Mus musculus: one gene and its partner. The protein of the gene in region 1 binds, or shares a complex with, the protein of each later gene. Links are inferred from orthologs where the notes say so. Each region holds a gene or a part of one and is shown in the gene's direction. Other genes may lie near its edges. The genes, in order: Fzd4 and Ndp.

The links.
Region 2: the proteins of Fzd4 (region 1) and Ndp are in contact, whole or in part, in a crystal structure (PDB 5BQE), measured with the Homo sapiens proteins. The link is inferred for Mus musculus from reciprocal best matches to the Homo sapiens genes FZD4 and NDP. Residues at the interface, in NP_036325.2 of Homo sapiens: Ser51, Met52, Gln54, Asn55, Leu56, Gly57, Gln95, Phe96, Met105, Thr107, Lys109, Ile114, Asn152, His154, Met157, Cys158, Met159, Glu160, Gly161, Pro162; in NP_000257.1 of Homo sapiens: Asp33, Ser34, Pro36, Arg38, Met40, Arg41, His42, His43, Tyr44, Val45, Asp46, Lys58, Met59, Val60, Leu61, Lys102, Lys104, Leu106, Tyr122, Leu124, Ser125.

The regions. Positions count from the first base shown.
Region 1 is NC_000073.6:89,407,113-89,410,683, forward strand, and holds the end of Fzd4 (frizzled-4 precursor), read left to right. Parts: coding exon 1-1,248; 3' UTR 1,249-2,998; downstream 2,999-3,571. UniProt on the Homo sapiens protein: Receptor for Wnt proteins.
Region 2 is NC_000086.7:16,891,023-16,894,848, reverse strand, and holds part of Ndp (norrin precursor), read left to right. Parts: intron 1-67; 5' UTR 68-273; coding exon 274-441; intron 442-3,826. UniProt on the Homo sapiens protein: Activates the canonical Wnt signaling pathway through FZD4 and LRP5 coreceptor.

The DNA.
Region 1 (3,571 bases):
TCAGTCAAGAGACGCTGTGAACCAGTCCTGAGAGAATTTGGGTTTGCCTGGCCCGACACCCTGAACTGCAGCAAGTTCCCGCCCCAGAACGACCACAACCACATGTGCATGGAAGGACCAGGTGATGAAGAGGTTCCCTTGCCCCACAAGACTCCCATCCAGCCCGGGGAAGAGTGCCACTCCGTGGGAAGCAATTCTGATCAGTACATCTGGGTGAAGAGGAGCCTGAACTGTGTTCTCAAGTGTGGCTACGATGCTGGCTTGTACAGCCGCTCAGCTAAGGAGTTCACGGATATTTGGATGGCTGTGTGGGCCAGCCTCTGCTTCATCTCCACCACCTTCACCGTGCTGACCTTCCTGATTGATTCATCCAGGTTTTCTTACCCTGAGCGCCCCATCATATTTCTCAGTATGTGCTATAATATTTATAGCATTGCTTATATTGTTCGGCTGACTGTAGGCCGGGAAAGGATATCCTGTGATTTTGAAGAGGCGGCAGAGCCCGTTCTCATCCAAGAAGGACTTAAGAACACAGGATGTGCAATAATTTTCTTGCTGATGTACTTTTTTGGAATGGCCAGCTCCATTTGGTGGGTTATTCTGACACTCACTTGGTTTTTGGCAGCCGGACTCAAGTGGGGTCATGAAGCCATTGAAATGCACAGTTCTTATTTCCACATCGCAGCCTGGGCTATTCCCGCAGTGAAAACCATTGTCATCTTGATTATGAGACTAGTGGATGCCGATGAACTGACTGGCTTGTGCTATGTTGGGAACCAAAATCTAGATGCCCTCACTGGCTTTGTGGTGGCTCCTCTCTTTACGTATTTGGTGATTGGAACGCTGTTCATTGCGGCGGGTTTGGTGGCCTTATTCAAAATCCGGTCCAATCTTCAAAAAGACGGGACAAAGACAGACAAGTTGGAAAGGCTAATGGTCAAGATCGGGGTCTTCTCAGTACTGTACACGGTTCCTGCAACCTGTGTGATTGCCTGTTATTTCTATGAAATCTCAAACTGGGCACTCTTTCGATATTCTGCAGATGACTCAAACATGGCAGTTGAAATGTTGAAAATTTTTATGTCTTTGCTCGTGGGCATCACTTCAGGCATGTGGATTTGGTCTGCCAAAACTCTTCACACGTGGCAAAAGTGTTCTAACCGATTGGTGAATTCTGGGAAGGTAAAGAGAGAGAAGAGGGGGAATGGTTGGGTGAAGCCAGGAAAAGGCAACGAGACTGTGGTATAAGACTAGCCGGCTTCCTCGTTCCTCATTGTGAAGGAAGTGATGCAGGGAATCTCAGTTTGAACAAACTTAGAAACACTTCAGCCCACACACACCCACGTCAGCCCACCACCACTCACCCAACTCAGCATCAGAAGACCAATGGCTTCACTGCAGACTTTGGAATGGTCCAAAATGGAAAAGCCAGTTAGAGGTTTTCAAAGCTGTGAAAAATCAAAATGTTGATCACTTTAGCAGGTCACAGCTTGGAGTCCGTGGAGGTCCCGCCTAGATTCCTGAAGCCCAGGGTGATAGTGTTTGCTCCTACTGGGTGGGATTTCAACTGTGAGTTGATAACATGCAAGGAGAAAGATTAATTTTTAAAACCCTTTTAAATTTTAAATAGTAACTAGGTCTTGCAGATAGCAAAGTGATCTATAAACACTGGAAATGCTGGGTTGGGAGACGTGTTGCAGAGTTTTATAGTTTGGCTGGTCTAACATAAACATCTTCTGGCCTACACTGTCTGCTGTTTAGAACTCTGTAGCGCACTCCCAAGAGGTGGTGTCAAAATCCTTCAGTGCCTTTGTCGTAAAACAGAATTGTTTGAGCAAACAAAAGTACTGTACTAACACACGTAAGGTATCCAGTGGATTTCTCTCTCCTGAAATTTCAACATCCCTAATTCTAGGCAGCCCCTGTTTTCTTCACTTTAAACTAATGACTCAAAAAAAAAAAAGGTTATTTTTATAGGATTTTTTTTTTTTGCACTGCAGCATGCCTAATGAGAGGAAAAGGGAAGGTGATTCACTTTCTGACAATCACTTAATTCAGAGAAAAATGAGATTTGCTAAGTTGACTTACCTTACCGACCCTAGAGACCTATTGCATTAAGCAATGTTAAGCAATTGGGACTTAAAATATTTTAGTTTGTGTGATTGCATCTAGGCAGACGCCAGTCTGGAAGAACTGAAATGTTAAATTTCTTGGCAACTTTGCATTCACACAGATTAACTGTGTAATTTGTGTGTGTCAATTACAATTAAAAGCACATTCTTGGACCATGACATAGTATACTCAATTGACTTTAAAACTGTGGTCAACTTGCATTCTTAGTGTGATAGTGCCTTTCCCCCCTGTAGCATAAGAATGTTATCGGAGTTTGGTCTACTTGCCACAATGGAGACTTATTCAGCTTTGCAAAGGCAACTAAGGACAGCAGATCCAAATACGTGGTGCATAATTGTTCCTTAGTAATGGACAAAGGTTCTTATAAGATTTCACTGGAGGCAGTGTGGCCTGGAGTATTTATATGATGCCTAATGAACCTCCAGAATGCTGGCCAGAGGCTGGATTGGTTAGCAGGGGATATGGTGTAGACGGAGTGAAATGAGCTGCAAAGTCTAACAGCACGAGTCTTAATTGCCTTTGCTGGGGTATCCAAAGCCTTTAAAATTTATGCTTTAAGTCCCTCACAAGGGGGGTACCCGCTAGCAACCTATCAAAAGTTGAAGTTCTTTTAAAATTGTGACTGGCCTTTTTCTTAACCTGCCTTAGGCCTTTTAATCACCAGATCTCTGGGACAAAACATTGTACATGTCACAGGTTGCTCTCCTTGTATTTCATGCCTGTCTGCTTCAGCAACTTCAGTTATTTATTGATTCATGCTTTTAGTAAGAGAGCCCTTAATGTTTTGTCCAATCCTACTTTGTGGAGAAACATTTCATGGATTCCAAATCCCAAATAGGCAAATAGGTGTTCAAATTCTGGAAATATAAATTTTAAAAACTGGGTCTCTCTCTCTCTCTCTCTCTCTCTCTCTCTCTCTCTCTCTCTCTCTCTCTCAGTTTGAGCTTTGTTTCTGACTATATTTTCTCCCCACAGCTTTTGTTTTTGCAAGTTCTGTAGATATCTGATATCAAGATGCTATAGGCCTGTCGTGTGTTTGGAAATGAGAGGCTTGGGGCTGGTGAGATAGAGACCTCCGTGGACCTGGGTGGCCCCTGGTGATTTATGCAGCCTGAGTACCTAGACTGGACTAGGGCATAAGGCTCCAGGAGCAGGAGAACTGATCCATGGAAGGGCCAATTTAACTCCTGAATGAGCTGCCTATGAAAGGCGAAATGGACACGCCCTGCACTGCTTACAGACAGTTCCCATAGCTGTCCAGGGCCCTGGAGTGTGCACCCAAGGGCAGATTCTGCCCTTACTCACGCTCTGCTATGGTGTCTTGGGAGTTGTGCAGTGACTCTGGCACAGGAAAGGGATGAAAAGCAAGGCAGTAGTAGCTGACTAGCTTTGCTGTGCAGACTTTGTAATGCACTTCTCTTTGTAATGCTTCAGTGAT
Region 2 (3,826 bases), on another chromosome or scaffold:
CTCTTGTATTGCATCCATATTTCTTGGTATATATTTCTGGGTAAAATCATTTCTGATTTCATTCCAGCTGTGCAGCACATACTGCTGTGATCGGTTGCAAGTGAAAGAAGCAAGAGAAATTCCTGCATACAAAGGACAATGACAACCAGAAAGCGGCAGCCCTATCCTGCTCTGGCCTTGAAAGGGACTGGATCCTAGGAGGTGGCAGCATTTCCAATCTATTGTCCTCTGTCTCCCTCTGCTGTTTTTCTGGAGGAGTTTCCCTTTACAACAATGAGAAATCATGTACTAGCTGCATCCATTTCTATGCTCTCCCTGCTGGCCATAATGGGAGATACAGACAGCAAAACAGACAGTTCATTTCTGATGGACTCTCAACGCTGCATGAGACACCATTATGTCGATTCTATCAGTCACCCACTGTACAAATGTAGCTCAAAGGTAAGATCAAGGTCACTCCAAAGCCTTTGGAGGATACCCTTCTCCCTCATTAATACAAGAGCAGTCATAGTTCCTTGTCAGGGGATGGAGAGCTACGACCAGAGCCCAAACTGGAGCTCTATGACTGGCCTGCAGAACTTACAAGGGAATATTTCTTTAGAATTTTCTCACTATGCTTTCCACTTCTGTGTCTGTAATGGAACATGTGTGAGCTTATTCTGTTGTGGGTGTGTCTTACACCACTGGTTGGGAAATTCATGAGTGATAGTGTTCCTTTTTAATAAAGAAAAATAGGGGCTGGGAATAGGAAAAGTTGGGAAATTGAAAACCTCAGTTTAGATCCCTGGCATGGTGGTACACATCTCTAATCCCAAGACCAAGAAAGCAGAGACAAGAGAACCCATGGGAACATGCTCACTAGTCAGTCTAGCCCAAGTGACTCCAATAGTGAGCTCCAAGTTCAGTAAGAGACTGTCTTAAAAAGTAAGGGAGCAATAGAGAACCAAATCCTTAACCAACCTCTGACCTCCACAATCTGTGCACCATGTGCACATGTGCAGGAACATGCACACACCACATATGCAAAAAGAAGAAGACACAGAGCCTTTCAATTGTCATAATTCCCTTTACTTCCATCAACAACAAAAAGAATGGGGAATTTGTGGAGTATGATTGGACAATGGAGCATATTCTTGGAGGCTGTTCACACAGTTTTCTGAACTACCCCAGAACCATCTGGGTGGTCTAAACCTTCCTCCCTGTGTCACACTGATGTTAAAAATGACTTCACAACTAAAGATGGCAATTTGATCGCTTCTCATTTTATCTTGTTTAGCAGTTCCTACTTACTGGCAGTGGGTGGAGTGTTTCTTGCACAGGTCATCTGTGACTTGGTACTGTGAAGAGGTGTGCAAAGTAATAACATACTAACGGACCACCAAGGGTGGCTACCACATAGACCACCCAGAAGGGAGGCACAATGGAAGATGGAATGGGTCCTAAATGAGAGTTCTCATGACCATCATTGCCCCAGTCACATGTCTTAAATTTGTCCACACAGTAAATAAGACTTTGTTTAGTTCAACCTCAAACAATTTCCACTTTAGTCCTGAGACTAAAACAACAAAAACCATTTAAACATTCTCATATGTCAAACCTTTTTAAAATTAGCAATATAGTTAAGAATTTTACAAAATTCTATCAACCACTAGAATTAAGGTCATAGGAATCAATCTCTCCACTCTCCATTTCAAAGCATGCCTGCTTTTACATTTTCTATAATGTCTGTGGTTGTAGCCCAAGGAAGATCTTTAGTTTGAACGCTTCAAAAATTCAGTTAAATCAATTTCACCATTGTTCTAATAAGACCTAGGACTATGGGAAAAGAAATGGAGTTTTTTTTTTTTTCCTTCAAGAAAATGTCCTGGATCTTACTTATAGTTGAGGGACAAAACCAAAGAGAAATCATTAGACAAGGATAAATTCTGATGAAATTCCTTCTTGAAAATGGAGAAATTGAGCTGGAGTAGCCACCAAGGGGTAGGAGTGGGACAATCTTGCTTAGGTTTATTTTAGCACCACAGAAGCATAGAAAGCACTAATAACAACTGCAACAACAACAGCAACAAAGATAAGAGAAGCATCTTTATAACCACAATTGTTTAGATGTTGCTTCAGAAGCAGATGCCACAGCACTGATATCTAGTATTTAATTCATGTATGATTTCTTCCTTTGTTGAACTGTGCTTCATAATCATGTTTCTTTAGAGAAAGCGACAGACAGACAGACAGACACGGACACAGACACATACATGGACACGGAAACAGACACAGAAACAGACATAGACAGACAGACAGACAGACAGAGATGGGGGAATTCAAATTTAAAGAAAGCACCATTGTGATGAAAGGCAGGGTTATAGAAAATAGTAGAATAAATAAAAAATTGAAAGTGGAGAGCACTTGCCTAGTATGTGTGAGGTTCTAGGTTCCAAACCCAGAACCAAATAAATTAAAAAAAAATCTGGGAAGATAGGACAAAATGATGGAAGACCACCTTAGCATGTTAACCTCAGAGGGAAAGAGTCAAGGAAGAAATGTCCTTAACTAAATGTCATGAGGTTTGAGCATGACTTTTAGAAATGAATTTTAGTCAATTGTTATTCACCTTTGCTTCTTCCAGAGCACTACAGTAAATAACAGGGCAAAGATTGTGATGATAGAAGAAATGTTTCTAATTTCATGGGAACAATTTGTTTTCAGACATCCAAAATGACCCCAAATGTAGCAATGGTTTTATGTAAATGCTGCTTGTAATTATTAACCTTCCTTCCTTGGCCACAAAAAAAAAAAAGATGTGTCTGGCACAGCTTCAGCTACCAGACTCTTTCTGGATTAAATTTTCTGTATGTATTCAGGAAGAAAATTATTTCCATTTGGAAATATTCTATAGTTCTTAACTTTTCCAGACTCAGAATGGTAGTCTCTCTGATGATCCTGTTTTCCTTTAGAGATTGGGAGAGAAATGTTAGCCTATGTCCAGAAGGAAGAGGTCAGGGCAAATTTTATAGATTTACCAATATTTTTTCCTCAATATCATAAGCAAGAACATTATTTTCTGGACATATGACCATCCCTTCCCCTATCAGTTAATATTCTTGACATAGATTTGTCAAGTGGGTCTGGCCTCCTGACTACATGAAAGGCACACGTGGCCCAGGGAATGAAGCACACTGGCCCCAACACCTAATCAGTGTCAGTCACTTTACACCATATATTGTAATCATTACCGACACATTGGCCATGTAGGTGTTGTCATCCTCATGCTACAATGATGGAAACTCACAATCCACAAGAAAAGACAGATTAGGGTTCCTGATGCTCTGAGAAGGGCAATGTTATGCTTGGAGGCTTTGTTTTTCCACTGCCTGATTCCTCGTATTGAAAGAATGTATAAAGAACACAGAAACTATTGTATAGAATCCAGACGTAGCTATCTATAGTAGTCATTCATATTCTATAAATGTTTTCTAGAAAAATAGAAATAATGGATAAAGATTTTCTGGGCACTTTTAATGGGACTTTCTGTATTTTATGGCCATGAACTTGCATTTGGCCAGTTTTACGTTCTGTCACCCTCCTCCTAGCAATTCAGTAAGGAACTAATAATACTCAGGCAAGACTGACCCATCAAGAAAGACAGGATAGCCACTATTTAGATTATATTTGGGGCTTTTGTTAGTCATTGATATCGTATGATGTTAAGTCCAAGGGAGGCTAGGATTGGCAAGCTCATTCCCTCTCTTCCCAATAAACTACATTTTCATACAATTCCGAGTAAAAACTATGAAGCAAATCTTCTGAAGATCTGCAGTTGGAGGAAATT